7 linked regions of the Canis lupus familiaris genome follow. The protein of the gene in region 3 purifies or fractionates together with the protein of the main gene of each other region. This does not show direct contact. Links are inferred from orthologs where the notes say so. Each region holds a gene or a part of one and is shown on either strand. Other genes may lie near its edges. The genes, in order: ARID4B, SMARCC1, SIN3A, BRMS1, NR0B2, HDAC4 and MTA2.

The links.
Region 1: the proteins of SIN3A (region 3) and ARID4B purify together in Homo sapiens (affinity purification with mass spectrometry; 5 studies listed by BioGRID, with this or other methods). This does not show direct contact. The link is inferred for Canis lupus familiaris from reciprocal best matches to the Homo sapiens genes SIN3A and ARID4B.
Region 2: the proteins of SIN3A (region 3) and SMARCC1 purify together in Homo sapiens (affinity purification with western blotting; 3 studies listed by BioGRID, with this or other methods). This does not show direct contact. The link is inferred for Canis lupus familiaris from reciprocal best matches to the Homo sapiens genes SIN3A and SMARCC1.
Region 4: the proteins of SIN3A (region 3) and BRMS1 purify together in Homo sapiens (affinity purification with western blotting; 4 studies listed by BioGRID and IntAct, with this or other methods). This does not show direct contact. The link is inferred for Canis lupus familiaris from reciprocal best matches to the Homo sapiens genes SIN3A and BRMS1.
Region 5: the proteins of SIN3A (region 3) and NR0B2 purify together in Homo sapiens (affinity purification with western blotting; 3 studies listed by BioGRID). This does not show direct contact. The link is inferred for Canis lupus familiaris from reciprocal best matches to the Homo sapiens genes SIN3A and NR0B2.
Region 6: the proteins of SIN3A (region 3) and HDAC4 purify together in Homo sapiens (affinity purification with western blotting; 3 studies listed by BioGRID and IntAct, with this or other methods). This does not show direct contact. The link is inferred for Canis lupus familiaris from reciprocal best matches to the Homo sapiens genes SIN3A and HDAC4.
Region 7: the proteins of SIN3A (region 3) and MTA2 purify together in Homo sapiens (affinity purification with mass spectrometry; 4 studies listed by BioGRID, with this or other methods). This does not show direct contact. The link is inferred for Canis lupus familiaris from reciprocal best matches to the Homo sapiens genes SIN3A and MTA2.

Annotation. Positions count from the first base shown.
Region 1 is NC_049225.1:4,973,367-4,977,437, forward strand, and holds the start of ARID4B (AT-rich interactive domain-containing protein 4B), read left to right. Parts: upstream 1-1,271; 5' UTR 1,272-1,533; exon of another isoform or gene 1,534-1,699; intron 1,700-2,529; 5' UTR 2,530-2,578; coding exon 2,579-2,584; intron 2,585-4,071. UniProt on the Homo sapiens protein: Acts as a transcriptional repressor. May function in the assembly and/or enzymatic activity of the Sin3A corepressor complex or in mediating interactions between the complex and other regulatory complexes.
Region 2 is NC_049241.1:41,673,012-41,676,511, reverse strand, and holds part of SMARCC1 (SWI/SNF complex subunit SMARCC1), read right to left. Parts: intron 1,311-3,500; coding exon 1,052-1,310; intron 293-1,051; coding exon 131-292; intron 1-130. UniProt on the Homo sapiens protein: Involved in transcriptional activation and repression of select genes by chromatin remodeling (alteration of DNA-nucleosome topology).
Region 3 is NC_049251.1:38,743,107-38,747,261, forward strand, and holds the start of SIN3A (paired amphipathic helix protein Sin3a), read right to left. Parts: upstream 2,801-4,155; 5' UTR 2,782-2,800; intron 1-2,781. UniProt on the Homo sapiens protein: Acts as a transcriptional repressor. Corepressor for REST. Interacts with MXI1 to repress MYC responsive genes and antagonize MYC oncogenic activities. Also interacts with MXD1-MAX heterodimers to repress transcription by tethering SIN3A to DNA.
Region 4 is NC_049239.1:51,468,946-51,473,022, reverse strand, and holds the start of BRMS1 (breast cancer metastasis-suppressor 1), read right to left. Parts: upstream 2,801-4,077; 5' UTR 2,651-2,800; intron 27-2,650; 5' UTR 16-26; coding exon 1-15. Other genes in the region: B4GAT1 (beta-1,4-glucuronyltransferase 1), read right to left, coding at 3,715-3,906. UniProt on the Homo sapiens protein: Transcriptional repressor. Down-regulates transcription activation by NF-kappa-B by promoting the deacetylation of RELA at 'Lys-310'. Promotes HDAC1 binding to promoter regions.
Region 5 is NC_049223.1:72,630,622-72,634,425, reverse strand, and holds NR0B2 (nuclear receptor subfamily 0 group B member 2), read right to left. Parts: upstream 2,526-3,804; 5' UTR 2,464-2,525; coding exon 1,923-2,463; intron 1,142-1,922; coding exon 843-1,141; 3' UTR 501-842; downstream 1-500. UniProt on the Homo sapiens protein: Transcriptional regulator that acts as a negative regulator of receptor-dependent signaling pathways. Specifically inhibits transactivation of the nuclear receptor with which it interacts.
Region 6 is NC_049246.1:49,717,733-49,721,700, reverse strand, and holds the start of HDAC4 (histone deacetylase 4), read left to right. Parts: upstream 1-1,168; 5' UTR 1,169-1,183; coding exon 1,184-1,298; intron 1,299-2,119; exon of another isoform or gene 2,120-2,319; intron 2,320-3,968. UniProt on the Homo sapiens protein: Responsible for the deacetylation of lysine residues on the N-terminal part of the core histones (H2A, H2B, H3 and H4).
Region 7 is NC_049239.1:54,563,067-54,565,975, reverse strand, and holds the end of MTA2 (metastasis-associated protein MTA2), read right to left. Parts: intron 2,707-2,909; coding exon 2,478-2,706; intron 2,280-2,477; coding exon 2,190-2,279; intron 1,888-2,189; coding exon 1,769-1,887; intron 1,667-1,768; coding exon 1,518-1,666; intron 1,331-1,517; coding exon 1,165-1,330; 3' UTR 501-1,164; downstream 1-500. UniProt on the Homo sapiens protein: May function as a transcriptional coregulator. Acts as a component of the histone deacetylase NuRD complex which participates in the remodeling of chromatin.

The sequences.
Region 1 (4,071 bases), on a different chromosome or scaffold from region 3:
TAAAGCATCACGTAACTCTCCTTTGTATTACTCACCACTATTACCAAGGTCACACTCGTGTGTCCACTTTACTTCCTGTCTGCACCGTTTTTTTTTACATGGTAGGCACTCAACAAATTTGTGAACGATTGAATGAACCAACGGAAACGCGCTAGAGGATGAAATCAGGGCATACGCTTTCACTATAAAAAGATAAAAATACCATGCAATTTCCCCCGTCCCCCACACCCCGACAATGATCTGGTTTCAAAATTGCTAAATAGTGATATACAAACGTAAGCTTGGCTGTGAAACGCAGAGTGAATCCTTCCACGCAAACTTTGGGAGATGACAGAGCTGAAGAAAACTGCCCGAGATACAAGCAATAGATTTAAATAACTTCAAGGCAGATTTTTAAGAGACTTGGCAAAACCGCTTCAAGCGATTCCTCTACTCGTACGAAGCCCGCAGGGTCAGTGAGGTTCCTGCTTCCTCTCCGCTCAGATGCCCCCTTCCGCCGCCCTGGATCACCTACCGCTCCTCCCCTTCTCTAGCAAGTACGGAAAATTCATACACAATCCGGTTCAGCATCCGGGTCCTCACCCTCCTTTCTTTCTTTCCTCTCGACCCCGCCTTCCAGCCTCCCCCGCCCTCATTTCCCATCCGGGTCCCCCCCCCCCCCCCCCCCGGCCGCCACCACAGCCGCTCACGGTTCAACGGTGATATCACAACTTTTCGCGTTGCCGGTCCGGGGAGTAGTAGTACCCAGCATCAACTTCCCACTTTATAGTTCTGACCAAGGCTCCGCCTGACGTCTACATGGGTCCCTCCCCTTGCTTCACCACAGAACTCTCCACCCTCCTCAGCCACCAGCGACACTGCATTACTCGAAGCAAGAAAATGCGCCATCCCGGTCACACTGCGCAGGCGTCGTCGCCGCCTCCCCACTGCTTTGTCGCCCCGCCTCCTCTCCTTCCCCCTCACTCCTCGTCCCACGCAGGCGCGGGGCATTGCGGGTCTTGCAGTTCTCCTGGGCAAGGGCTTGCGCATTGGCCCCAGAGGTTGGACTACACTTCCCGGCAAGCTTTGAGGAGTAACTTTCAGTTTCCATAGAAGTGGTGGGAAAATGGCGTCGTTGTTTGTATTCCGAGGACCAATAAGAATGGGATATAGGCGGGTTCTAAAGAACGCTAACCAATCCGAGGTCGTCTAAGAGGCCATCCGGGAAAGAGGTAGGGGAGGGGCAAGCTTCTAGGGGAGGGGAGAGAGAAGGGAGGGGGGGCACTGAGCGGGGGGGGGGGGAGCGATGTTTGCCCGTCAGTCGAGTCCGGAGTGAGGAGCTCGGGCGCCGGAGCGGAGGGAGAGTCTTGGGCTTAAGCTTGCCGCCGCCACGGCCACCGCCTGGACCTTTGCCCGGAGGGAGCCGCAGAGGGTCTGGCGCTGCCGTCCTCTGGAGGGCAGCGCGATTCGGGGCCCGGACCTCCAGTCCGGGAGGGATTTTTCGTCGTCCCCCCCTCCCCCCAGCGAGGGAGCCCGAGCGGCCGCCAAACAAAGGTACCAGTCGCCGCCGCGGGAGGAGGAGGAGCCGGAGCTTCAGCCTCAGCAACCGCTGGACCCGCCGCCCTTCTTCCCCCATCTCTCCCCCGGGCCTACTGGTTTTGGGGGGGAGTAGGGGAGGGAACTCTGGACGTGCCAGGGTCAGAGCTCGCCTCCGCGGAAGGTAGGGGCATTTTCCGAGGCTCTCGCTGTCTCGTGAGGGGGTCCGTTCGGGAGTCACCCGGCCCGGCCCGGCCGAGGAGCGGGGGACGATCGCTCGGTGTCTCGCCGGGCGCTGGGGTTCGGGGCCTCGGCCTCCCGGGAGCCCCCGCCCCCATGCAGTTGCAGAGTGCGAGTCGCCCCCCATCCTGGCGGCCGCACACTCAGCGGTTCAGCGGCTCTGGGCCGCGGTGGGGGGCCCGGGCCGGCACGGGGGGCCGTGCGGTCTCCCGGCCCCTCGGTCCTTTGGCGGCCCCCGCGGCCCGGCCGCCGGGGATCCCGCTCGCACTTGTCCGGTCTCCGCCCGGGAACGGGACGTGGGCAGCGGCTGTGCGGTGGGTCGTCCTGCCCGCGGCCCTCCGGCCCGCCCGGCCTCCCGCCGCCCCCACCCGGGGCCCCTGGAGCCGGGGCCTGCGCGACCCTATGGGGCGCCGAGCCGCTCGGCGGGGCCCAGAGGCCCCCGGTGGGGACAGCCGGCCCTGCGCCGGCCCCCGGGCTTGTTGTGAGTTTCTTCTCTGACAGAAATGGCGTCATTGTCGGAGACGGGAAACTCCGTCGGGTCCCGACAATGGGGACGGGAAGCTGCCGAGCTGTGTAGGTGGCTCGGTTTGCGGGGCTGGCGAGGCCGCGGGGAGCCCCCTCGTCGGCGTGTGGTGGTTCCGGGGCTGACGCCCGCTACGTTTCTTGCTTCGGGCTTCGGGCGTCGGGCTTCGGGCTTCGCCCGGTTCCCTCCGCTTCCGCCGGTGCAGAGGGGTGCCTGTAGTGTTGACTGGGTGTCTTTTGTTTCCCCTCCAGGTGCAGGTGAATCTGGTGTTTTCGCGGGGATCGCGGTCCCGGAATCATCATGAAGGTAGGATTGCTTACGGAAACCGAGCTCTGGGGTTACAGAACAGGGGGGTTTGATGGAGGCCGCGTGTGGGGCCTCCGAGTTTTGCCGAGGAAGGTGTGTTTGGTGGCGGGGTGCCGGAGCCCGTTTCCCGGAAGACGATGGGGGTCAGCTGGTGTGGCTCTGTCGGCTCTGCTGTGGAGTTGGGGCCACTTATAGGATGTCACACGGAGCATAATTCTCCCATATAGACCGTCTCTTCTTGCAGGGTAAGGCAGGAGTAATTGCATGAAATAAAGTATTTTAAAAGGTAAAACAGAAAAAGCAGGTCAAGTAATCCGACTCTAGAAACTGAACTGTATTGTGGTTCTATCGATTACACCGATGAAAGAAAATCTCGTTTATTGTGTGAACAGTGTTGTGGGTTTTTAGCAGAAGACCTATTTGGTAAGCTATGAAAATAATCTGAGTCGAGAGATTTTTGAAGAGAATCTTTACACACCTCAGTTTTTCCTTGTATTTCCTGGGATTTAGGATTATTTGGTTTATTTTTTCTTTGATCCTTTTAGTCGGTAAATTGTCAGATACTGTAATAGAACCAGTGTGGATTGATGTGGAAAACCCATTGCCAGGTTCCTCTTAAATATAAACATGTTAACTGAATGGAGGAGAGTGTGTAAAAAGTAGAATTTACTTAGTTCGTGGAAGAAATTATTGCAAGGAAAGAAAGTATAGGTTGGTTTTGGGTTTTTTTTTTTTTTTTTTTGGTATATGTAATTGAATGCTGTCAATCTTTAATACATCCGAGAATAAAAAGCCTTAGTTAGATATCTGACATGTCTAGGTTCAACTGGTGGAACTTAGAGACTAGAGATATTTTTCATTCGTGACAAATTCAGAAGTGCTTGAAAGGGTAGGGTGTGTTCACAAGTATAGAAATGGATAGAATAGTATGTGAAAATATAAATGTCTACTTTTGGTAGTTCCTTGGAATTATTTGAAAACAAGTTTTCTTTTAGGATTTTCTGCTTTTATAGTACTGCATCTAAATGAAAATTTGTAATGCTTGTGTTTATGGAAGAAAATAAAAGCTGTGACTACTTAAATATTTATCAGCTATATAAAGTAATTAAGTTTAGCTGTAGATTTTTTTTTTTTTAGATTTTTTTCTTCTTGAGTTTGGGGTGCTATAAACTGAAAATATCTGCTGAATTTTTCTGTCTCACCTTCATGTAAATGAAAAATACAATCAATGATGTTTCAGAAACAAATCCCTTTTGTTATTCACAGATGCTAGCTATAACTCTTGTGACCTGTATAAAACAGAGACAAGTGAATTTTTTTTTTTTTTTTTTTTTTTTGACAAGTGAATTTTTTAAGGAAAACCGTATATCTTCCTTGGTATTGGGTGAGAATTTCTTAAGAAAGGCATTGGGTTGAATAACATATAATAAATTCAGAAGCTGAATAAGAGCATTTAGTTTGTGATAGGTATCGCAATCTGTTGTAGT
Region 2 (3,500 bases), on a different chromosome or scaffold from region 3:
AATCTTAAGGGACAAGTTATTACTAATTGTTATTCTCCCTTTTAAGTGCAAACAAACCCAATTACTTCAGGAAGCTGACAGGAAAATACAACATCTATTACTCCTGTCCTCGGGGGCAGCCATAACTCACCAAGTTTCTCTGGCTCATCGGGTCCTGTGCCTGCAATACAGCTGCTTTCCAGGCCGTAGGTGGGATCCACTTTCCCAGAGGCTCGTGCTGCTTCTTGTACTTTCTTGACATGAGCTTCAACCAATTCCAATGGGACCTCCTCTCGGACCCGAGAAAACTCCTCTGTTCAAGAATAAAAACGGAACAGTGGGACTTGGTTTTATACAAGATTTTGCTTTAACGTAAACCACTAGAAAATCTAACATATTAGTGTCTTGCATAGTGATCTTTCTGGGGACTCAGTCTTATCCCAGCAAAACAACAATGCCAAATGAGACAATCATGTATACTGAAGAAATTCGATGATTCTACGTTTTAGCTTACATGTTATAATATCTTATTATATAAATAACACAGATTTCTAAATTTCCATCAGTAACAATCAAAATTTCTGCCCAAACTAATCTACCTCTGCAGGCTAGACTGATATTAAAGCAAACAACAAGGATTAAATAGCCAGAAAGTCAAGAAAGGGTTTTTATAGTGTGAGAAAGTTCCAATTACAATAAAATCCAATAATGTGGGGATCCCTGGGTGGCTCAGCCGTTTAATGCCTGCCTCCGGCCCAAGGTGTGATTCTCGAGTCCTGGGATCGAGTCCCGCATCCGGCTCCCTGGGAGGAACCTGCTACTCCCTCTGTCTGTGTCTCTGTCTCTCTCTCTGTCTCTCATGAACAAATAAAATCTTTAAAAACAAATAAATAAATATTATAATACTTTTCAATATAATATAGAGAGGGTAATATGTGATTTTCTTCTGTATAACTGAAATTAACATAGCAGCGGATAACACATAAATCTGAGACAACATATATATGAAAGAAAGCACTAAACCATTATTTGAAACTACTATGTTGCTGACATGGTTCAAACAAGTCCATACCCAAAGCTGCTTTTGCTGCAGCAGATGCCACACGAGGGTCCACCACAGATGCCAAAAAAGCAACAGTGCTCATGACTGGGTTTCCAGACTGACTGAAAGGGACAGGCTGGTAGGCCAGGGGCCCCAGGGAAGCATCCGAATTCTCAAGGTATGGGTCCTCAATAGGAAGCCTCAGAAAGTGGAGGATGCATTCATCCTGAGTACGACTTCCGACGTGCTCTGACACTTTGTTCCAATCATCCTTGTACATCTCCAGGGCCTGTAACAGAAAAAAACCCAGGAGCTTTAGGATTAGGTAACAAGGAACCAAGATATGTAATAGTATCAGAAGCCTGTGACTGTTCTTTGGGTGTGTTTAAAAAAAAAATAATGAAAATGATTATATGGCACACAAGAAAATGGGTAGGTTTGACTGCTTTCCTAACTACGTTAAATCTCAATCAGGCAAAAAAAAATTAAAAGCATACACACATAAAAGGAAGAACTGTCTTTCATTAATACATATAATCGTTTATATAGAAAATCCAAAGAAATCTACAAAAAGATACTAAAACTAAAAGGTTTAACAAAGTCACAGGAGAGATGTGGAATAGAAAAAAATTTCAATGAAAAGCTTTAAATTGGAAAAAAAAAGGTATTTAAAATACCACAAAAATGAAGTATGTAGGGAACAAATACATTAGGATATCATCTCTCTCCAAGCTCAGTAACAGGTTCAACACAATCCCATTCAAATTCCATGTCTTTTTTGTTAAAAATTAAGAAACTAATACTGAAATTTATAAAATATATAAATACTCAATTTAAAAATTCATAATTTGTCAGAGAAAAATGCTGAACAACTTTCAAAAAAGAGTAAAAGTAGTCTCCAAAGGGGAGAGAGGCACAACGTTATGAAGAAAATCAAGGAAATGGATAAAAAGAAGGTATTCAGTAGTTGATCAAAGCTGCTATTCTCACATGATTCTCACCAGGCACAATTTTGCCTCTTTGGGGACATTTAGTAATATCTGCAGACATTTTTGCTTGGCACAGCTGGGGAGGTGCTACTGGCATCTAGTGAGTAGAGGCCATGGATGCTGTTGAACATTCTACAATGCAAAACAGATCCAGAGCCTGATTTGCTCATCTATGCTATGAGATGAGCTTGCAATGATAAGGATTCTTTCTACGTTTATGAAGGTGAATTCTTAACCCAGGGCTCCAACTGCTGCCCCAGGCTTGTCCTCTTACTAGAGAGGTAGAGGACACCTCACAACTCACATTAGCGAATTGTCTTATTCATTTAATCCCTTGAAAGACAAGGCTAATTCTGGGTTTTCTCTGGACAGCTAGTGGCCTCAGATCGTTCTAGAAGGACTTACTTAGAAAAAAGACCCAGATTTTAACAAAAAAGAAAAATCAATCTCTTTCCTTAGGATCCTCAGGGCCAGAAAGATATAATTGGGGCCATTTTATGCTTCTGATTATAGGGAGATTTTTGGGGATACTATACCAGAGTCTTTTCAAAAAAACTTATTTAAAAAAAATTTTCTTTCTTTAATTTCCTCAGCCAGAATAAATATAGTTCAGGAAGTTCTTTTTCCAGAATACAACTAAGAAATCCTCTGACAGGCAAAATTCAAGAAAGAATCAGTATCGAGAAAAGCATTAGGCAGAGAAAGTGAGGTTTCAAGCCTGGGCACTGATGGTAGTATTACATAACAGGAAATTGAAGATGTTTTCAGACAGAACATGGTGGCAGACTGGCTGGGAAGGAAGGAGAGGGCTGATATATTAGCAAACATTTTATAGTACTACAAAACACCTTCATTCTTTCTGCTATGACCTGGGTCCCTTCATTGCTCCTTACCTGGATTCTTAGAATTCCCTGTTTCTCTATCCTTAAATTCATCCTTCTCCTATTACCAGAATGAGTCATGTCTCACACATGACACGGTCTCTCTCCTGCCTAAAACTATAACCTTGCTCATAAATATCTTATGAAATTAAGTCCAAACAGGATTGGGACTCTGTCCCACTCCACCCCGTGCCCTATTCTTTCAAGTCTGAGGAATATCCAGATCCCAAACACTATTCCTAGTTATTGAAATATTATGAACTAAAGCCAACAACATAGCTGTCCATTCCCAGGAAGCTGTCCTTTAAGGGTCACCCAGCCATTGCACAGCCATCCCCCCTGGACATGACTTGTGCTCCGAGTACAGCTCCAAATGTAAAGCTGAGGCTGTGGCACTCATTTTTTGTTTCAACTGCCTATAAGAAAAGACTTTCCTCAAAACAACTGTTTTTAGTGTTTGTTTTTAATTGGAAGACATACTCATCTAAAATGTAGTTAAAATTACACTGAAAAAAAGGTATTTCTTCACTGGCATGTAAAAGAAAGCTATCAGGTACATGCAAACCATGAGGAACTCTTTGATGCTTACTATTTTCCACCGCTACTGTT
Region 3 (4,155 bases):
AGCCACCGCCCTGGCAAGCCTCCGGAAGGCGGAGCGTGAGGTGTGAGGCGTCTGCGACCTCCGGGGGTAGACCTGGAGGCTCGCTCCAACGGAAAGAGGAGAGCAGACAGGCCTCGGCATAAATAAACCTTCACCCCACACTTCGTACAAAGGATAAAAATCCTGCAGTTGGTGACGAAAGGTAAGAATGGCTGTTCAGCTAGTCCTTCGGCCAACAAGTGTTCGTGGCAGTCCCTAGGCCTTCTCTGTGTAGGTTATAGTGCTTCAAACACACAGAGACAAAGTGCTTGCAGTGCCGAGGTTGCTTTTATTAAAGTCCCCAAATGGGGCGGAGAAAGGACGCTGGCCCTGCTTTGGGGGGCGCTCAAGGAGCGCCAGGAAAGGAGGGGGCGGGACCAGAGTTTTCCCGCTCTCCAGCAAAAAAGGCGACTCCCCCAAGCCAACCTACCAGTCCCCAAGTGGCAGGCCCCGGGGAACCTGCGCCCAGGTGCTACCTCGTCGTCCCTCTGCAGTCCCGCGGAGACGGCACGGCAACCAGCGCTGGCAACAGGTGGGCCTGACTGCAAGGATGGCTTCAAGCCGCAAGAGCAAGGCAGTGGACCGTGGGCTCCATGAGTAGCGAACGGAGGAGAGCCAAGCCCTGCCCCAGGACGGAGCTCTGAACATAAGTCACGCCGGCGAAAGCGGACCCTTGAGTCAGCCTGCTCGAGCTCAGGACGAAGCGGCGCTCGTCCTTCCCTGCTCCCTGGACTGGGTGCCGCGCGACGATGCCCCTGGCCTTGAAGGGCCACTTGGAATCCGAGCAGGATGGGCCGCCCCCGACTTCTGGGAGCCGGGGGTGAGCCGCCCTGGACCACGCCTAAGGCACCCAGGCTATTCTTAGGTCGCCCAGGGTTTCAGATGAAGCCACCCAGCGACAGGCTGCCCGCGTCCGCGGTGTTCTCAAGCTTAAGTCTAGGGCGACCTCCGGGAAGCCAAGGGGCGCGGGGACGGCCAGGCCGCAGCGTCGGAAATTAAGTACTTGGCCCGGGAGGCCAGATCCCACCGTGTCCTCCCGACCCCCGCAGAGCCCCTCAAGCCGGGACCCCTGAACCCACTGCTGCCTGCAACCCCTCCCTGCACCGCAAAGCTACCCCGTCTCCGGCCTTAGAGGCATCATTGTGTGCCTCCCCGGCTCTCCTCGCCCCCTTCCCGCCCCGCCCCTGCCGAGCACTCCAGACCCAGGACTTCCGGGCGGGAGGACAGTTCGAAGGAGCGAGGCGGGACTCCCACATGTGCGGAGCGCGCACACAGGCTGGAGGAGGGGGCGGGGAGCAGGGGTGGACTTCCCCTCCGCGCTCGCCCGGCCGGGGGGCGGGGCCTCCCGCCGCGCCAATCAGGGGCGGGGGCGGGACCTTGCGCCGCACGTCAGCCGCAGGACTCCTCCCTCCGCCCTTCACGGAAAAAAAAAAAACAAAAATCCTAGCAACTTAAACTCCAGCCCGGCCTCCGATAGGCGGAGCTCGCGAGCACGTCGCCCAGTGGCGGGCCGAGGAGGGGAGAGGGGAGCCTCGCGCAGCCAATGGAAGACAAGAGGAGGCGGGCCCTCCGGGGAGCCCGCGGTGGGCGGGAGCGCGGGCAGGCCCCGCCCCCCGGCTCCCCTCCGGGCGGGTTGCACAAGCGGCGGCTGGAGTACATAGTAAACAGGGTAGGCCCGGGAGTGGCGGCGGGGCCGGCGCGGCGCTCCGCGGGCCCGGGCCCGGCGCCTCCTCGGCCCGCGGCCCCCGCCCCGCGCCGGCGCCCCGCCCTCCAGCCCGCGGCCGCCATCCCGGCTGTCAGGCGCGCCCCCCGCGCCCCTCCCCGCCCGCTGATGCATTTCCTTTTCCCGATTCCGAGCGTGCAGAGTGTTTTCCCAGTTCCCGACCTTCACCGCCCCAGTCGGGCCACCCCCTCGCGGGCGCGCTCGCACGCCGAGCCCCCGCCCCCGCCCCCGCCCCCGCCCCGTCGGCGGGCGAGCAGCGCAGCCGGGGGAGGGGAAGGGGCAGGGGCCACCGCCGCCGCCGCCGCCGCCGCCGCCGCCGCGGCCTCGGGTGGGCGGGGAAGGAGGCATCCGCCGGGGCCGCCCCGGGAGCCCGCGGGGCTCCCACACCCCCGGGCCGAGGTCCGCGCGGGCTCGCGGCCTGGCGGGCTCCGGGGCGCCCGGGCCGGCGCGCGGGGCTCTTTCCGGTGCCGCCCCCGCCCCCGGCGCCCCTCCCGCGGGCCGGCGCTGCCCCCGCCCCCAGAGTCCATAACAACCGCGGCCCCGGAGCGCGCCCGCCGCCCCCTCCAAGTTCGCGGCCGGAGCCGAGCCCCGGGGCGGCAGCCGGCACTGCGCGGCGCGGGGACAGCCGCGGGCTCCCGCTCGCTCGCCAACTCCGCTCGCCGCAACTCCGGCGCCCGCGGTGGGCCCGGCCCGCCCGGCTCGGCCCCCGGCGGCGCGCCCCCCGCCCCCCGCCCCCGCCCCCGTCCCCCCTTCACAGTAGTCGCTCCACGGGCGCCGCAGGGGCGGGGGCGGGGGTCTCCCCGGCCGGGCCGCCGCCGACACCTACCGAGGCCGACTGCCCGGCGCGCCCCGGCCGCCCCCCGGCCCGCGGATCCGGCCGGCTCGGGGGCACACGGGCTCGGGCGGGCGGCGCCGAGCGCTCCTCCCCGGCCTGCCCGGAGCCCGGCGCCCCCCAGCCCCGCACCGCGGCGGGCCGGCCGGCCAGCCCCCCAAACGCCCGACATTGGGGAGACCAAATTAAAAGCAGCTGTTTAACATACCTTCCGAGCCAGGCGAGGAGTCCTGAATGGGGGGGACCGCCCCCCGCGGGCCATTGGCTGCGCGGCGCTCGCGTCAGAGCCCCGGGCCCGCCCGCCGCCGCGCCCCGCCCCTTCCCTTCATTGAACGCTGCCTCGCTGCCTCGCTGCCTCGCTCCCGACAACCTCAAATAAATAAATTAAAGTGGCGGCGAGCGGGCAGCGCGGCCCCGGCCGAGGCCCCTTCCCGCGGGGCCGCCCCCTGGGGCTCCCGGAGGCCCGCGGCCGGACGGCGACCTGGGGCGCGGGGCCCCCTTCCTCCGCGCTGCGGGGCCCTCGGAGCTGGCGGGGACCCCCGCCCCCCGCCCTCGGCCAGGCGGCTGCCGCGGGAGTGGGGCCGAGCCCCCGGGGCGCGGGGAGGCACCTGCCCTGAGAGCCGCGGCGGCCCCGGGAGCCCTTCGAGGGCCCCGCACCTGCCCCAGGTGTGCCGCGCCCACGGCCGCGCCAGGCGAGGCCACAACGCGCAGAAAAATAGACCTGGGAGCCCAGGGCAGGGGGCGAACTGGGAAAGTCTCCGTGGGGGACGCGGCAGCCCCGCAGGGTCCTAAGGCTTTCATCAGGCAGAAAGGAAGGGGCAAGTCCCTTCTGGGGAGGAACCGGAGGGGTAAATGGAGGACAGCGTTTAGGAGCTTCGAGGGCGGCTGCAGCGATGAACTGCAGGGTGGGATGGGGGGCGCCCCGGGCTCAGGGACTGAGCGTCTGCCTTGGGCCCAGGGCGTGACCCCGCGGTTCCGCATCGGGCCCCCTGCACCGAGCCCGCTTCTCCCTCTGCCTGTGGCTCTGCCTCTCTCTCTCTCTCTCTCTCTCTCTCTCTCTCTCTCTCTCTCTCGTGTGTGTCTCATGAATAAATAAGATCTTTAAAAAAGGAAAGGAAATCAGGGCTGGAAAGATGGAACCAAACAGCAGAAGACTTTAAAACCTGGTTAAAGTTCTTAGACGGCATCATGTGCAGGCAGCCTGTTCGCAGGACCGCAGGCTCAAAGCTGCGGGGTAAGATGCTCAACATCCCAGTAGCCGGATTGGTTCTGGGACTGGTTGAGTGAGGGGTGCCTGTAGGCGGCAAGGGGAGGCACAAAGGCTGTTGTAATACTCGGTTTGGAGACAAGAGAGATCTGTCTTCTGGTGGGAGGGGTACGTGGTGGAGCCAAGGGAAAATTTATTTTCTCTCTCGCCGCCGTCCAACCCAGAAAGCCTTGCCTAACTTCAAGTCAAAAACTCTAACCCAGATCCTTCCCTGAATAATTTGCCGTGTTTGTCCTAACTTTCAACCAGAAGTTGAAAGGGGCCACCCTACATCTCTGCTTAACAGAGCTGAGCCTGGGGCCAGCGCACACGTGA
Region 4 (4,077 bases), on a different chromosome or scaffold from region 3:
GCCATCACTTATCATCACCCTCAGTTCTGAGTGAGAAAGTGACCGTGTGGGGAGTCAAACCAAGCCCTGCCCAAATATCTCCCAGAAGCCTGGGAGCCACAGAAACGCTCACAATCTTGGACATTGTTGGTGATCCCAATCTGGGGAATGCTGGCCAAGGTGATGGTCCAGAAGCTGGGAAACACCAAGGATGGATTCCCCACTGCCTCTGGGACTGGGCCCGCACTCGTGGCTGGGGTGTTTAAGGGCCTGCACAGACTGGACTTGAAGTACTGAGCCAGCTCCTTTACCCCACCATCCTTAAGTGCGCCATGCCTTCATACTCCCCACCCCGTCCATTGATCCTTTCAGCTGGAATGCCATCCACTTCTCATCCTGAGAACACTCTGCAATCCTCATTTTCTCGCTGTGTTCTGGATCAACGCCTATGTCCTTCTGCTTTCTCTGGAGCCTCATATTACCAGTACCCCCATCTTCACTGTTTCTCCAATCCTTCCTCTTGACAGCTTCTACCCATGAAATTTTAGATGTGTTCGGGTATTGTCTCCCATTTAGAAATAGCAGAACACAAAACCTCGCCCTATTCCACTTAACCACTCCCCATTTCCTACCTCACAGCTACCTTTCCCAAGGCTCTGGCTGTTCCTACTCTTTCACTAACCAGAGGTTCCATTCCATATCTCTATGATTGCCCTCAGCTGAAGTGAATTCTGTGGCATCAACCGATGTCCACCTTGTGTCCAATGCCAGTATTTTTTAGTGCTTATCTTCGTTGACTTCTCAGGAACAATGAACACTATTAATCATTCTTTATTTACTCATCTAAGATTTATTGAAGACCTAATATATGCCAGGTACTGTCAGATGCTATGGTCAGATGCTGGGCACGATGGAGCAGACAGACACAGTCTCTGATCTCAAGGAGTTTGTAGGTTCCTGGGAGACAGGCAATAAGCAGACCGTACTGTGGTATGAGAACGGTTAAGACTGGAGGACATATGGGAGAGGCATCTCACTGGAACCTGGAGCTTGCTCCAACAGTGAGGGCTTGCAGAGGAAGATCCTTGCTGCAGCAATAGGGAGGACTTGCAGACAGATGAGCTGAGATGGCTGGAGAGGGAACATTCCAAGCAGAGTGAATAGCATGGGCAAAGACTCTAGAATGAGGGAAGGGGCAGAGGTGGGGGTACATGAGTCTAAGCCTCAGAGAGAAATCTGGGGTGCAGAGATCTGGTCATCGGCATATAGTGAGTGCTTCAGGCCTTGGGAGAAGGCACAACCAGCAAGGCAAAATGTGTGGAGTGAGAAGAGGTCCAAGATAGAACTCCCAGGGCCACCAAAGGGCCAGGTGATGAAAGCCCTGCAAAGGAGAAGGAAATTAGCAAGAAACAGAGGAAGAGAAGCACAGTCATGGGGAGAAAGAATTTCAGAAGGAAGTACGATCATAGTGCCAAATGCTGCCAAGAGATCAATTATGAGGAAGACTAAACAGTCCACCCAACAGTTAATCTCTACCTACTGAAGGCTTCGATTTCACTGTGATGTTCTTCCAACTTCTCTGAGCAGGGTACTGTAGTCCTTTAGATGGATATAGACACCACTCCCTCCAGGAAGCTCTACTTGTTTACATCTCCTCTCTATTTGCCGTTTTCACGTCTGTCTATCCAATCAGGCTGTAAGCCTTACCAGGATGGGGATGCACATGCACCTCGTTCACCCAGCACAGTACTTACTTCACTTCACAACTGGTGGATATGCAAATACAAATTAAACAAAGCACACTTTTTCAGGGCAGCTTTTACTTCTTGATTGCCCCAGGACCCTGTAGTGGTAGCAAACCCAAAGTATTCTGTTAACTTTCCTTGACACACTGGGACGCCTGGGTGGCTCAGGAGTTGAGTCGGCCTTTGGCTCTGGGCGTGGTCCTGGGATCCGGGAGTCCCGCATAAATTTTCCCTGCGGGGAGCCCTTGACACAATTTGAGTTGTGTATAATTAACTGTCTCGCGGCTCAGTTTAGTCTCATTCTTCAATGATTTCACAAGTGAACCTGAGCCGAAAACCTCAGTTCTCCAAACCAACCTCATCTTTCCCATTCTTAAGCAGGAACTGAGTTCCTGCAGTTCCCAAACTTCGCAATTCCTCTTCATTGTAAAATTATATATATTTCCTTTGTCTCCAGCTGTCTCTGATTCTACTGAGGGAGCAACATTAAATCACAACCTCCCCTCCTTACCCCAGGTGCAAAAAGAGGCTAACCAAGAGGATAACCATTGCTACTCTGAGCGTTCTAAAGATTGCAAGGCGTAGGGGATGGAAAAGCAAAGTATAAGGCGCTGTACACACACAATTTATATTTTTAGAAAGTGAGCATTTCGGGGCGGACCTCCACGGAAGGCCGATTCTTGTCCTTGGAGAGAGCCCACCCAGACCCCTGCGCGGCGCGGGGCGCCAGGACCCTCCCGCTCCGTTCCATTCCCGTCTGCGCCGGCGCCGCGGGCGGGGGAGTCACTGCCTCTTCGGCGGCCAACAGCGGCCCCGCGGCGCCGCACGCGTCCGGCCGGTTAGGTCTCCGCTTCGGCCCTGATTGGCCCAGCTCCGACCGACTGGCCAGAGAGGCCGAACCAGGTGCCCTGAGGAGCGTTACGCACCGTGGGGAGGGGGCCTCCAGCTTGACTTCTGAAACTCCCTGAGAGGTGCCCGCGGCTGCCGGGCTCCCGGAAACGACGCGCCAGTCCCTCTACTCCGGGAGGCGGGGCCCGCTGCACTTCCGCATACGTCATCAGGAGGCGCCGGTCGCGAAATTCACAATTAGGCAGCTCGCGGCGAAGCATGCTGGGATACCGCGGGGCCGGTCTCCATAGCAACCGGCCGACATTCACGCAGGGTTTCGGCCGGCTGGCGGAAAAGACCCCCGTGGTTTCCTTGCTGTGCGGTCGGCGCCTCTTGGGCCGCAGCAACCTCCTCCCCACCCCTGTGCCCCCCGCCCGGGGAAGGGAAGAAGCTGCGACCCCCCCCCTCTGCCCGCCAGGTCCAGGAGAGTCATGGAGCCAGCTGTAGGTGTGAACACTCATTTATTTACACATGGTCGTTGGTAGGCAAATAACCCAGTCTGTTGGACGGCACAGATTTGGCACGGAACCTGCAGACCCTTCCTTTCCCCAGAGCTCCCGAGGGTGGAGGCCTGGAAGAACCAGGAAGTTTAGTTTTCTGCCCCAAAACTAAGAACTAAATTCAGCGCCTTTATCTGATTTCTTCCAAAAAGTCCATTTTGTTAAGTACTCAGACTTCTCAGTCTGCCCCATTCATACTCTTTGCTCTCCGACTGCTCACCCACCCCAGATTGTTAATAATAATAACAATAATACTGTAATAATATTAATAATACTTCACATTTGTACGAAGCTTACAGAATGTTTTCACATATAGCATCTCATCTGAGCCTCCCAACAGTTCTGTGAGGTAGGTATTTTCACCTCCCCTTTTACAGATGGGATAACTGAGGCTCAGAGAGGAAATGGGATTTGCTCAAGGCCACACAGCTAGTTAGTGGTAAAGCTAGGACTTGATCCCAGCACCCCATATTCAAGTCCAGTGTTCCAACACCACAGCTACCACGGTAAAAGTGGAGTGACATTGATTATCCCTGTCAGGACTGAGGGACAGCCTAAGGAGGGAAAAGGCTGAGACTTCTCCGACTAGGGGAGGGAGGGCCTCAGCAGTGACGAGGGGAGTCAGGGTACTTGGCCTTCAACTCCTGTTTGAACTGGCGGTAAAGGATCTTATTGTGCTGATTTTCTGCCTCCTTTTGGGGATGGAACTTCAAAGCTTCCTTAAAGCCCTTATGAACCAGGAAACCTTCGTTCAGCACCTCGAAATCAAATCCTGCCACGTGCAGCTCACAGGCCTGTTGGAGGAGAGACAGGTCAGTGAAGTTGGATGACATTTCTAGGGCTGAGACTGGCATCCCTGAAGCCTCTCTCCAGCATCCCTACTCCTCTGGAGGCATCTACACCATCCAACCACTTCCTCAACTAGGACTATCCTGCCACATTGCCTCCTTTCCATCCAGGACCAC
Region 5 (3,804 bases), on a different chromosome or scaffold from region 3:
AGCCCTGGGTTCCCTTGCCCCTCCCATTGGGACAGCAGTGGACTGTCTTCTACTGTCATCTGCAGGAATGGGCAAGTGAATGATCCCAAACTGCAGAAATTCCCGTGACCTTGACCTTGCCTGTTTAAATTTGAGAATGGGCTGCTTCATATTCCTTACTGGCTGTGATCTGACTTTTGTTGAGGTGAGAGGGAGCCTGTATGGCTCAGAAGCCAAGAGAGGGGTTAGCGATCCCCACAAGGGGATCAAGAAGAGACACTCTCAGCCCTAAAGATAAAGGCAAGGAAGTAAGGGGGCCTGAACTGATCCTAGTCCCTGTGCAAAATAAATCTCATCCCTCAAGATGAAATAATCATCCTGCCCTGAAAAATTAATATCCCAGTTCCCTGAGGGCTGGCTCCAGCACTCCTTATGATTCCTTCCTCCTGAACTCCTGATAGTGGCAGAGTGGGCCCTGGAGGTGGGACAGTCCCTTCCATGTACAAATTACAGTGTCAGGCTCCAAGGGTATCATGCCTTTTATTACAAAAACCAATAACTTAAATCATTTCTGTACAAAGTCAGTAGGACTTGTCCCATTGAGCAACCTAACTGCCATCCCCATCTCAGAAGGGGTCAGGAGTCTTAGCCCAGAAGCCAGAGGACCACTCCAGTTCCAGACAGCTGGAGCGCCATGTCAAACCAAGAAAGGCCAGTGGGGGCCGTGTGGTGAGTGAGGTGGGGGGTGCCCCTAGCCCATCTCTCTGGGGCAGGACAGGCTTGTTCCAGGGAGGCTGAGTGCTGCCTGTACAAACTTGCTCCCTCTGGGGGCAACAGGTAGCCCTGGGGACAGCTGGGCCAAATCAGTGCTGCCAGCCTTTGCCCAACCTCCACTTGATCTCTGCCTGGGCTGGAACAGGTTGGCTCAACAAAAGCATGTCCTCAAGGAGGCCAGCGATGTCAATGTCTCCAACAATAGGGCGGAAGAAGAGGTCCCCAAGGAGGCTGGGCGGGATGGACTTGAGGGTGGAGGCTGTGAGGAGGACACGGGCCAAGCGGCCTTGGCCTGCTGGGCACCAGGGCTCCAGGGCCTCACATAGCGCATGATGAGCCTCTTCCTGCAGGTGTCCGATGTGGGAGGAGGCGTGGAGGCCTGGCAAGCCTGTGGGCAGAGAGGGTGAAGAGGGCGGGTGAGTACCCCACTCCCAGGCAGCAATATTGGCCCAAGACCGGAGGTCACTGGCTTGGCCTTTGAGGCCCCATTACTACCTCCTCCATTTATGTGTTTATCACTTTATTTATCCATCCATTTATGGGGCAGCCCAGAGTAATGGTTAAGAGCCAGGCAGCCCGGGTTTGAATCCCATGCTGTCACTCACTGGCTGTATGACCTCAGATATGTTAATATCTGTGCCTCAGTTTTCTCATCTGTAAAATGGGGATAATAATACCTATCTCCTAGGCATGTTATGAAGTTTAAGTCAGCTAGTATATTCAAAACCCTTATAATTGGGCCTAATATATGGTAAATGTAATATGAATATTCATTACTATCACTATAATTAATTACCATCATTTATGCATTCTACGAGGGCTTTTTGATGAGGAATTCTCATCTCACATTTTCATTCTTCTCCATGGGGTCTTTCTGAACCCACAGGGTTTTACCTGTGACAGAGGCAGAGTTGTGTCTGCTCACCTTCCCTGACAGTCAGGGCAAGTTTCTTAGGCAGAGTGGCATGGACCAGTCTCTGGAGGGAATAAACCTGAGTTCCCATCCCTGCTTTGCCCCTACCGAGGCTGTGTGACCTTCAGCAAAACACTTAACCTCTCTGGGAGGTGACTTTTGGGGATAATGAGGACCCAAAGAGAAAACGGGTGTCAAGCCCTTAGAAGATGCCTTCCCTGCCTGGGTCCCCATCCAGGAATGTCTGGAAGCTCACCAGGATTGAAGAGGATGGTCTCTTTCAGGTAGGCGTATTCCTTGGGGCCCAGCTCCAGGCTCCAGAAGGACTCCAGGCAGCACTGAAGCCACTGTACGGCAGCCAGTGAGGGCTGGGGCCGATCGGGCAGCTGGCCGCTGTGTGCACCACTACTGGGCTCCTCCAGCAAGATCTTCTTGAGTATGCTGGGAACCGGCGCCTCAGCCACCTCGAAAGTCACAGTGTCTTGGGCCAACCCCAGCAGGAAGAGGGGGCCCCAGCAGACCCGCAGCAGCAGCTGCTGATCTTGAGGGGGCAGCTGGCAGAAGGACGGCAGGTTCTTGAGGAAGACTACTGTCCTGGCCAGAACATCCAAGGCCTCCCGGCAGGTGCGATGCGGGGCACACAGCCGGACGGGCCGGTGCTGTCTGCACAAGCAGCGACTCTGAACCGGGGGCACTGGGGGCCTGGCCGTGAGGCTGGGGCTCAGAAGTGCATAGAGAATGGCTGGGCGGCCTGCAGCACCCTGACACGGGCAGGTCCCTGGCTGGCTGGAGCTCATGGTTGGGGATCTGCTCCTTCTTCCTCCCAGCTCTCCCGCTTCTGCCCTCTGCTGTGTGCTGGGTGCTATTTATATTCCCCCAGTGGGAGGGACGGTGGGTGGGGGCAGGAGGGACGGCCTGACAACCTTGACTCCAGAAGTCATGTTCATTGAAAAAAAAAAACACGCACTGACCCTGCAGGATTGGTGGGGAAGTGGCGGGGGAGGGGGCTTTGGGAGTTCCACGTGGCCCTGATATCACTTCAGTCAATGAAGCAGCCTGTGCAGGGCACAAGGCTGCCTGCCCGCTGGCCCGGCTGCCCCTTATCAGATGACTCAAGTGGATAAACAGGGTCATTAACCCAGGCTGTACCGAGGCACCAAGGCCTCAGGTGCACAATCAGCAGGTGGCCATTGCAGGTGTCCCTATTGGTGCCTGCAAGACTGGCGCTAAGCTGGGAGGCCAGCCCCGGAGCTGGACGAGCCTTGAATGCAAGGCCCAACCTGGAAGTGCCTTATCAGGGACTTGTTTGCCTAACCTTGGGGCTCTGCTCCTGTTGTTGGTAAGGAACAGGCTGCGGGAACGGAGCCAGGACCCTGGGGGGCTGGAAGGACTTTGCCCACTGTGCAGGCCAGGAGGCCTCCCTCTCCCGACTCAGTTCTGGGGCCCCTCCAGAAATAAGGTACCTAAGAACTTCTCTCTCCTTAGCCTGGATTTCTAAAGTTCCCAAAAGGCTGTCTCTGCTGAGAAGCCCTCACAGAATGAGAATAAAGTTTGGCTGCTATTTATTGAGCACCTACTGTGTGCTAGGCACTTTCCATTCTAATACTCAGAGCTTCCCCATGAGGCAAAATTCTTACTTTTTGAAACTGAAAGAGGTGAAGTGACTTGCCCAAGGTCATGTTAAGTTTTTTAGTAACTAGATGGAAATGAGACCGCCAAGGCAAGCGAGGGTCCAAGAACAGATTTTATTGCAGGCACCCTCGGGCGAGGTTCCACGACTCACGGGGGAAAGAGAGTGAGTCGAGGAAGTCGCGCCAAGACAAGGTGGTAGGGGGTTTACATAACGTTGTAAGGCAGAACGGTTTCCTATTGGTTGGCTCATATGCAAAGGAAGGATTGCAATCCAACCAGTCAGAGTGACCCTCACTATGCAAAGGAAGGATTGCAATTCGACCAGTCAAAGGTGACTTCCTCCTCTGGGGTTTGAAGGGCATTGGGTTCGGTTGGGGAAGTCCAAAGGAGAGGTGTAAGGGTCTGCTCAAGCTGTCAGCAGGTCATTGGTCCATTGGCGTCCCAAGTGGAGGTGGTGACAGGAACCCCAGCCATTTTGGCGTATCCGCCATCTTGAGGAGTTTCCC
Region 6 (3,968 bases), on a different chromosome or scaffold from region 3:
GCCCGTACCAACCCAGACTCAGTGCTTCCACCATCCTCTGAAGCCCCGATTCGCCCTTGAAATCCTGTCTCCATAGCCCATTCTCCCAACTAGCAAATGCCATCAGCTGCCCGGCAAAGCATGCGCAGAAGGAGGAGTCCCTTCTGAGTGATGAAAACGTTCTAACATGGGTTCAAGGTGACGCTTGCACATCTTGGTAAATTTACTAGAAATTCACTGACTTGTGCATTTCTGAAGGGTAAAAGGCCGTGTGCTCAGTAAAGTTAGTTATTAAGTATGTGTAGAGCTTGGCTACTCCCCCTCTCCGTCAGTGACGACGGCAGCCCGGCCACCACTGGCTCGCACCTAGAACCCGCAGGCACCTCCCCACCTGTTCCTTGCTTCTGTTGTAGCCCCCTGTTCCAGCTCAGCCCAGAAGCCAGAGTCTGGTTCATAGGTAGTGTCCCCCAACACCCAAAGGTCCACGCCTTAATTCAGAATCTGTGAGTATGTGACCTAACGTGGCCAAAGGGACCTTGTAGGTGTGATTAAGGATCTTGAGATGGATGATGATCTTGAATTACCCAGGTGGGTCCAGTGGAATCATAAGGGTCCTTCAGATGGGGAGGCAGGAGGGTCAGAGTGGAAGAAGGAGTCGTGAGTACAGCTGCAGTGACTGATGGCTTTGAAGACAGGGGGACCTGGCGGCTGGGAAAGGCCGGGAGCAGATTCTCCCCTGGAGCCGCCAGAACCGTGGGATAAATCTGTGTTGTTTGGAGCCACTAAGTGTGTAGGAAGAGCCACAGGAGATGAATGCACGTGATGACCTTGTGGCGCTCCTGGAGCCCGGGCTCAGCTTTTCTGCTTCCTATCACTGTGACCTGGGCAGATTGCTCTGCTTCCCCACCTGTCCGTTTTGCACATCGGTTAAATGGGGATTAGCAGGCGGTTAGCAGTGTCCGTGTGTCCCGCTTGCTGCGTGGTTCACGCACTCGTTTCCTTTGTGGTCGCCTCCCCTCCAGGCTGTGCGCTCCGTGGAGGGCGGGTCTGGGGGCTTGTTGTGCCTGTCCCCTGCGGACTGTCTGGAGAGGCTCCAGAAGGCTGGGCGTCAGCCAGCACTCATGTGCTCAGTGTGTGAGCCTGTGGGCTGTCCCTGGGCTGGTTTTCCAGGGTGAGCACGTCCACTGTCGCCAGAGCTGGCAAAATGGCTCTGGCCACGTTCAGAGCTGAAGAAACGCCTGGTGTGACTATGTGGCCCACAGAGTGGGTGGGTCCCCAGGACCCCGGAGCATGCAGGTGCCCCCGCGGGCTTGCTGGAGGTGAGCCCAGGCTGCGGGACTTCCTCCTCGAGGGCCTGGGCCCGAGGGGGGCACATTTCAGTGGCTGGCTGGAGGCGGCGGGCAGGAGGCCCACCTCAGGCGCGCCTGGCAGCGGCGGGGGACTTGGGTGTCGGGTGGAGCGTGTTCTTTATCAGCTCCCACCGAGGAGGAGTCCACGGCACTTGCGCCCAGTGAGCAGCGTCTGTCCCCTTGGCTGTGGGTGCTTAGGACCCTCGTCTGCCCCTGGGCCGCACTTCGAAGGATGTTCTCTGGTGGGTTGGGGGCCGCTGAGCGGTGCTAGGCCCTGCCTCCCTCCTCCTCCCTCAGCATCGGGGCCACCTTCATGTTCCCCGCACTTTTCTGGGTTCGGGGCCAGGGGGCATAGGGAGCAGCTGGGCCACCCAGCCACCTCCCAGCCCTTGCATTTTCGGGGGTGGGGTGTGAGGGGCAGCAGACAGTGCACTTCTGCGGGCTGTGCAGAGGGCGCTTTTTTGTTTTTCACGGTAGAGGCTTTCCTCAGTGTTCGGCCCGTATCCAAGGGTGAGTCTCCACGAAGCTGGGCGGGTGTGTTGGCGGGACCCGTCCTCTGGCCGGTCGCTGGGCAGGGGCCTGGCGCTTCCTCGGGCCCTGGTGCCATGACCTGGCCCTTCCCTCCTGGGCTCTCGGCTCCTCCCTGGGGCGCAGGCCCGGCCCCCGCACTCCGGCCTGCAGTGTATCAGCTGTCACTGCTCCTGCCTCGGGCCAGCACCCAGCTCCCGCCCTCCGCTCGGCGCTGCTCTGGGAGTCCCTGCGTGCGGGGGGCGGGCGGGCCGTGGGGTCAAAGGCTGCCCGTAGCGCGGCCTCCCCGGCCCCGAGGTCCCTGGCCGTCCTGGCTTCCGGGCCGGGTCCTTCTTCACTCTGCATCGCCGGGCCCCTTCCCAGCTCCCAGAATCCTGCGGCTCTTGTCTCCTCGCACGATCTGCTCCTGGGAAGGATTTCGGTCATTTGGCTGTCCCCAGAGTGGAGTCTTCGGAGGAGGAGGGTAAGTGCCAGCAGCCCGTGTTCCTCACAAGCCGTTCTTCAAGAATCAAGAACGAACCCTCCTCGGCTCAGCCAGGCGGCGACTGGGTGGAAAGGCCTCTTAACCTTGTGTTTTCACAATCTAAGTTAAAGATTAATTGGACTCCTAATAATCCTGCAGAAATTCTCGACATCTCAGTTCGCATTCCCTTTCATCCATTTCTTCTTAAGAAAGCCCTGTCGCCGGACTTCAGAATTGAAATCTGCGTGGAGCAGATAACTGTCCGCCCCCACGCCTTCCGTGGTCACTTTAGGAACCGGCAGAGGCTGCACGAGCGGTTTTCAGCCGCCAAGGAGATTATTTTCGAAATGACCCTGCAGTCCGTGAAATGACTTCTTTGAAACAGGAGGCTGAGGAGGTCGGGCTGCCTGTACTCAGGTCGGGGTGTGAGCTCGGCGTCCCCAGGGGGCCCACCCGCTCCCCACCGGGTTCTCACCGGGGCACGGCGCCACCGCCTTGTTTGCTCGTCTTCCCACTCCGGTGGCGGGAGCAGCTGGTGTACAGGTCGGGGGGGCAGGTAACGTGCTGGATCCTGGGGACGGGGTGTGGCCAGTGTCCGCCGGGGCGCAAAGCGGTTTTTGCAGCCCAAGCTGCCGGGTCACTGGGTCAGGGCCCACAGCCCCCACGGAGGCCCAGCACAGGTGCCCTGCGCTGGCCGGCAGCCCCCTCGCTCAGGTTACGCAGCGTGACTGGACATGCTTTGAAGGCAGGTGTCCCCAAAGGTACTGTCCAGGAAGGGAAAGCTCTGAGCTTTCGACCTCCTCATCCACACGCAGGGCCGGCCCGGGGGGGGGTCGGGGGGTCCTGGCCCATCCTGGGGGACCGTCGCACTCCCGGAGAAGCGGCCGCGCCAGGCCCTCGGGAGGGCAGAGCATTCGGTCCTCCTGGCTTTCTGGAAGCTGGATTTTGTACCGGAGGGCAGCAGATCTGTGCTGATCCTACGAAAAGAAGGAAGACAGAGGAAACATGGTTATTTCCCCGTCAGAAATTTTCATTTAAAACTGATTCATACAGGTCAGTTTAAATGGACTTTAAGACGAAGTTTCCCGTGAGGAAGTGACGGTGGCCGAGTGGAGCTGGGTGAGTGGGTCGGGCCATCGTGCTTCCTCGTCCTGGCTCTGTAGCCCCAGGAGTCCTTCATCCCTCCCGTCAAGAACTAGGTCTTAGCAAGCCAACGCCTGCGCCCCTTGGGGTGACATTTTACCATAGGAAGGGGCCCCGCATTGGTGGGGTGAGGCTGAGAGGCTGGGCCCAGGCTGGGGACACCTGCAGGGGGCAGGGGGCCAGCACGGTCCCCCGGGGAGGGCCTTGCCCCGTGCCCCACCTCCCCGCCACCTGCACCCACCCGGACCGCGTGTGAACCTTCTTGACACGTGAAGTGCCCTCTGTCCCTGAGAAGGCTGGGAGGTAGGATTTGGGAACGCCGGTCCATCCTCTATCGCCAGGAGACCCAAGAGCCCCGGGTGTATCACTCCAGGTGCAAAGTGGAGTGAGACACTGTCCCGGGCGGGTTTCTGCACGGCTCACCTGCCCCCGGGGCCCCGGGCCTCTTGCCCAGAGGCCAGTAGGGGATGCGGGGAGTCGCGGCCCGCACCCGACGCACCCTGTCC
Region 7 (2,909 bases), on a different chromosome or scaffold from region 3:
GTGCCCTCAATATCAAGGCAGGTGCTGAGGCTGGTCTTGGGAATCCCTGAAGCAGCAATCTGCAAACATACCACAGGGCTGGGTGGTAAGAGTGCAGCACCCTGCCCCCCAAGTAGGCTACATCTTGCCCTGATCTCTAGCAACTCCCAGAATTTCCTAAAAGAGAGGTTAAGGGTTGGAAAATAGAAGAAAAAGCATCTTCCCACCTCCCTTCCTGTGGAAGCCACCAACCATCCAGGGTCCATCCATTCCAACCGTTCTCAATCTGTGTGCCAAGAGGGAGCCTGGGTTCCAGCACCACAGGGAGCTGGGGAGCAGTTTGGGTCCCACGAGAAAGCTAGCCGGAACAGGCTGCCTAGCTCCTAAAGCTGTTCCCAGGCAAGCCCCATCTGTATCTCCTTTATCACCCATTGTCCTTTATTTTTCCAATTTAAGTCACTGTCCTCCCCCCACACACACACCCACACACACACCCATGGCAGAGAACAGCTGAGCCAGGAGAAGCTGAAGAAAACAGCTTTTTATTTGTTACTATAAGAACCAATTACAGAATCCGAGGTTAAAAAAATGGACAAAAGATCTTTATTTCTGAGAATTGGCGTACAAAAGGCGGAGGGGGCACAGGGAGGGAAGGAATAGAGAACATGGGTTGGGGTTGATGCCAGCTTAGGGGCCTCAAACTCCAATTAGGAAAGTCCGGACACCGGACAGGAAGAGAAACCCCCATTAGGAAAAAAAAAAAAAAAAGGATAGACATGGCAGTCATGGCAGTGCACGCCCCCCTCCCCCTACCACCACCTCCTGTCAATTTACCCTTCCCCTCCCCATCCCGTTTTCACAAAGGGAGGCAAAATTTTTAAAAAATTAAAAAACCCTCCCCCCAAAACTGTCCAAGACGACTGTGGGTCCTAACCCCCAAAACAGGTTAGGTTCCCACAGTGGGTCAAGTTCCTGCAGTGTGCCCTCCACCACCAGAAGTGGAGAAAACGTGGAAAGGGGACAGGCCTCCAAGTGGTAACACCAGAGGGCGCCCAACCCCTCCAAGGACAAACACTTGCTCCCTCCCTCACTCCTCATTCCCTTTGCTACTAGAGGGGAAGGGAGGTTGGATGCCCTGGGCACCCACCCTCTGGCTTTCAGCCACCTCCCTTCCCCCACAGATGCTCAATCCTCCAGGACAATGGGCTCATTGGTGCTGGCAGGATGTGGGGGTGCAGACAGTGGGACTGGGGGCCGCACTGCAATCAGTGGTGGCTTCACTTTCAGGGGCAAGTTGGGTCGGCGGGCAGCTCGCCGCATTTCCAGATGGGTCAGAGCCTTCCGCAGGGCCCTGGCCAGGAAAAGGAGAATAGAATAAAGAAGGCTAAGGCTCTCAAGGTGAAACCCCACGTTCCACAATCCAGTTCTGCCTTCGGACCCATTCTTTCCTGACATCCCCATCCCACACCAATACTATTATCCTTACCCCCCAAAGTGGGTTCTCAACTTCTCAGCCCCTCCCATGGTGGGCTCTGTACCTGGTATCCTTTGTGGCCACAAACACCACAGGATTGGGGGCATCAGCTGGGTTTAGTTTCTGACGCTTGGCAACTGGCTGTGAGCTTGAGCGAATCCCTGAGGCAAGAGGCCTTCCATTGGCAGAAAAGGGGACCCCCGCTCCTGCCATCTGGAAAGGGGGAGGGGGCACACAATGAGAGTGGACTCATGGATCCTTATCAGACATAAATGCCCACCCAATCAGCCTTGCCCACTCCCGCTGTTAACTCACAGTTTCATAGGCCCGTTTCACCATAATACCCCCCAGACCCCGGTTCTGGGTCAGCTGGTTTCTGTTGATTGGGGTCTTGGTACCCCGAGGTGTTTTTGGTTTCAGAGGTGCCTGGGCCACTGCCAGATTAAAAAAAATAAGAGAAAACTTAGAACTTTCATGCTTTTTATTCTCAATGTAGTTTCCCTGGGCATCCCCAAAGGCAGTGATGGTGGGAGGGATCTGGCAAGCAAGGATCACGTGAGTGTGATCTTAGCATTCACTATGGATAGCTTATGAAAACCATTATTAACATACAAAAGTACCAGCTGTTAAACTATTAAACTAAATCTCTTTGGATTTTGATGGTAAAAAGATGACTGTGAGCCTGAAACCACGTGAGCCTGAAACCACCTAACGGGTTCCTCATACCCTAACCTACCCAGATCTTTGACGATGGTTGCCAGTGGTAGCCGCACCAGAGGGTGAATCTTCAATGGAGTCTTTGCAGCCTTAGGAAGTCGAATGGAGCCTGAAGAACAAAGAGGAAAACTCGAAAGGGCTTCGCTATTCAGGCCTCTCCTATGGCCAGGAGCCACATCTATTCTCCCACCCAAGCGCTGTGGCCTGGTATCCCTGTCATTAAACATCCAGAGAAACACTGGTCTCTGCTCTGCTTTCCAGCCAGAGTATCCTGACCTGCCACTAACCCCACCACTCCTGCCCTTACACTCTGCCTTGATGGCATTGGCATTGATAGGGGCATAGGGTCGTCGGGCGGCCCTCCTCGGCTGTAACAGGTCCCTGCACATGCGTCTGGCCAGTCGGGTCAGCTTTGTGGTCTGGAGCAGGAATGTTTGCCTGTTCTTAGCCAGCAGCTTGGCCCGGTTGGCGCTGGTCGTATAGGGGGAGAGACTTTGGGCTTCAGGTCTAGACAGATGACCCCTCGAGTGTGGCTCCTGAAAGAGACATGGGAAAAAGGGAGAACACAGATGGTCACTGAGGCTCCCTTTTTTCTGTTCTCTGCAAAAAGCAATTTATTCCTGCCTGAAATCTTATTTAGCATAAGATTTTATTTATTCATGAGAGACATACAGAGAGAGAGGCAGAGACACAGGCAGAGGAAGAAGCAGCCTCCCTGTAAGGAGCCTGATGTGGTACT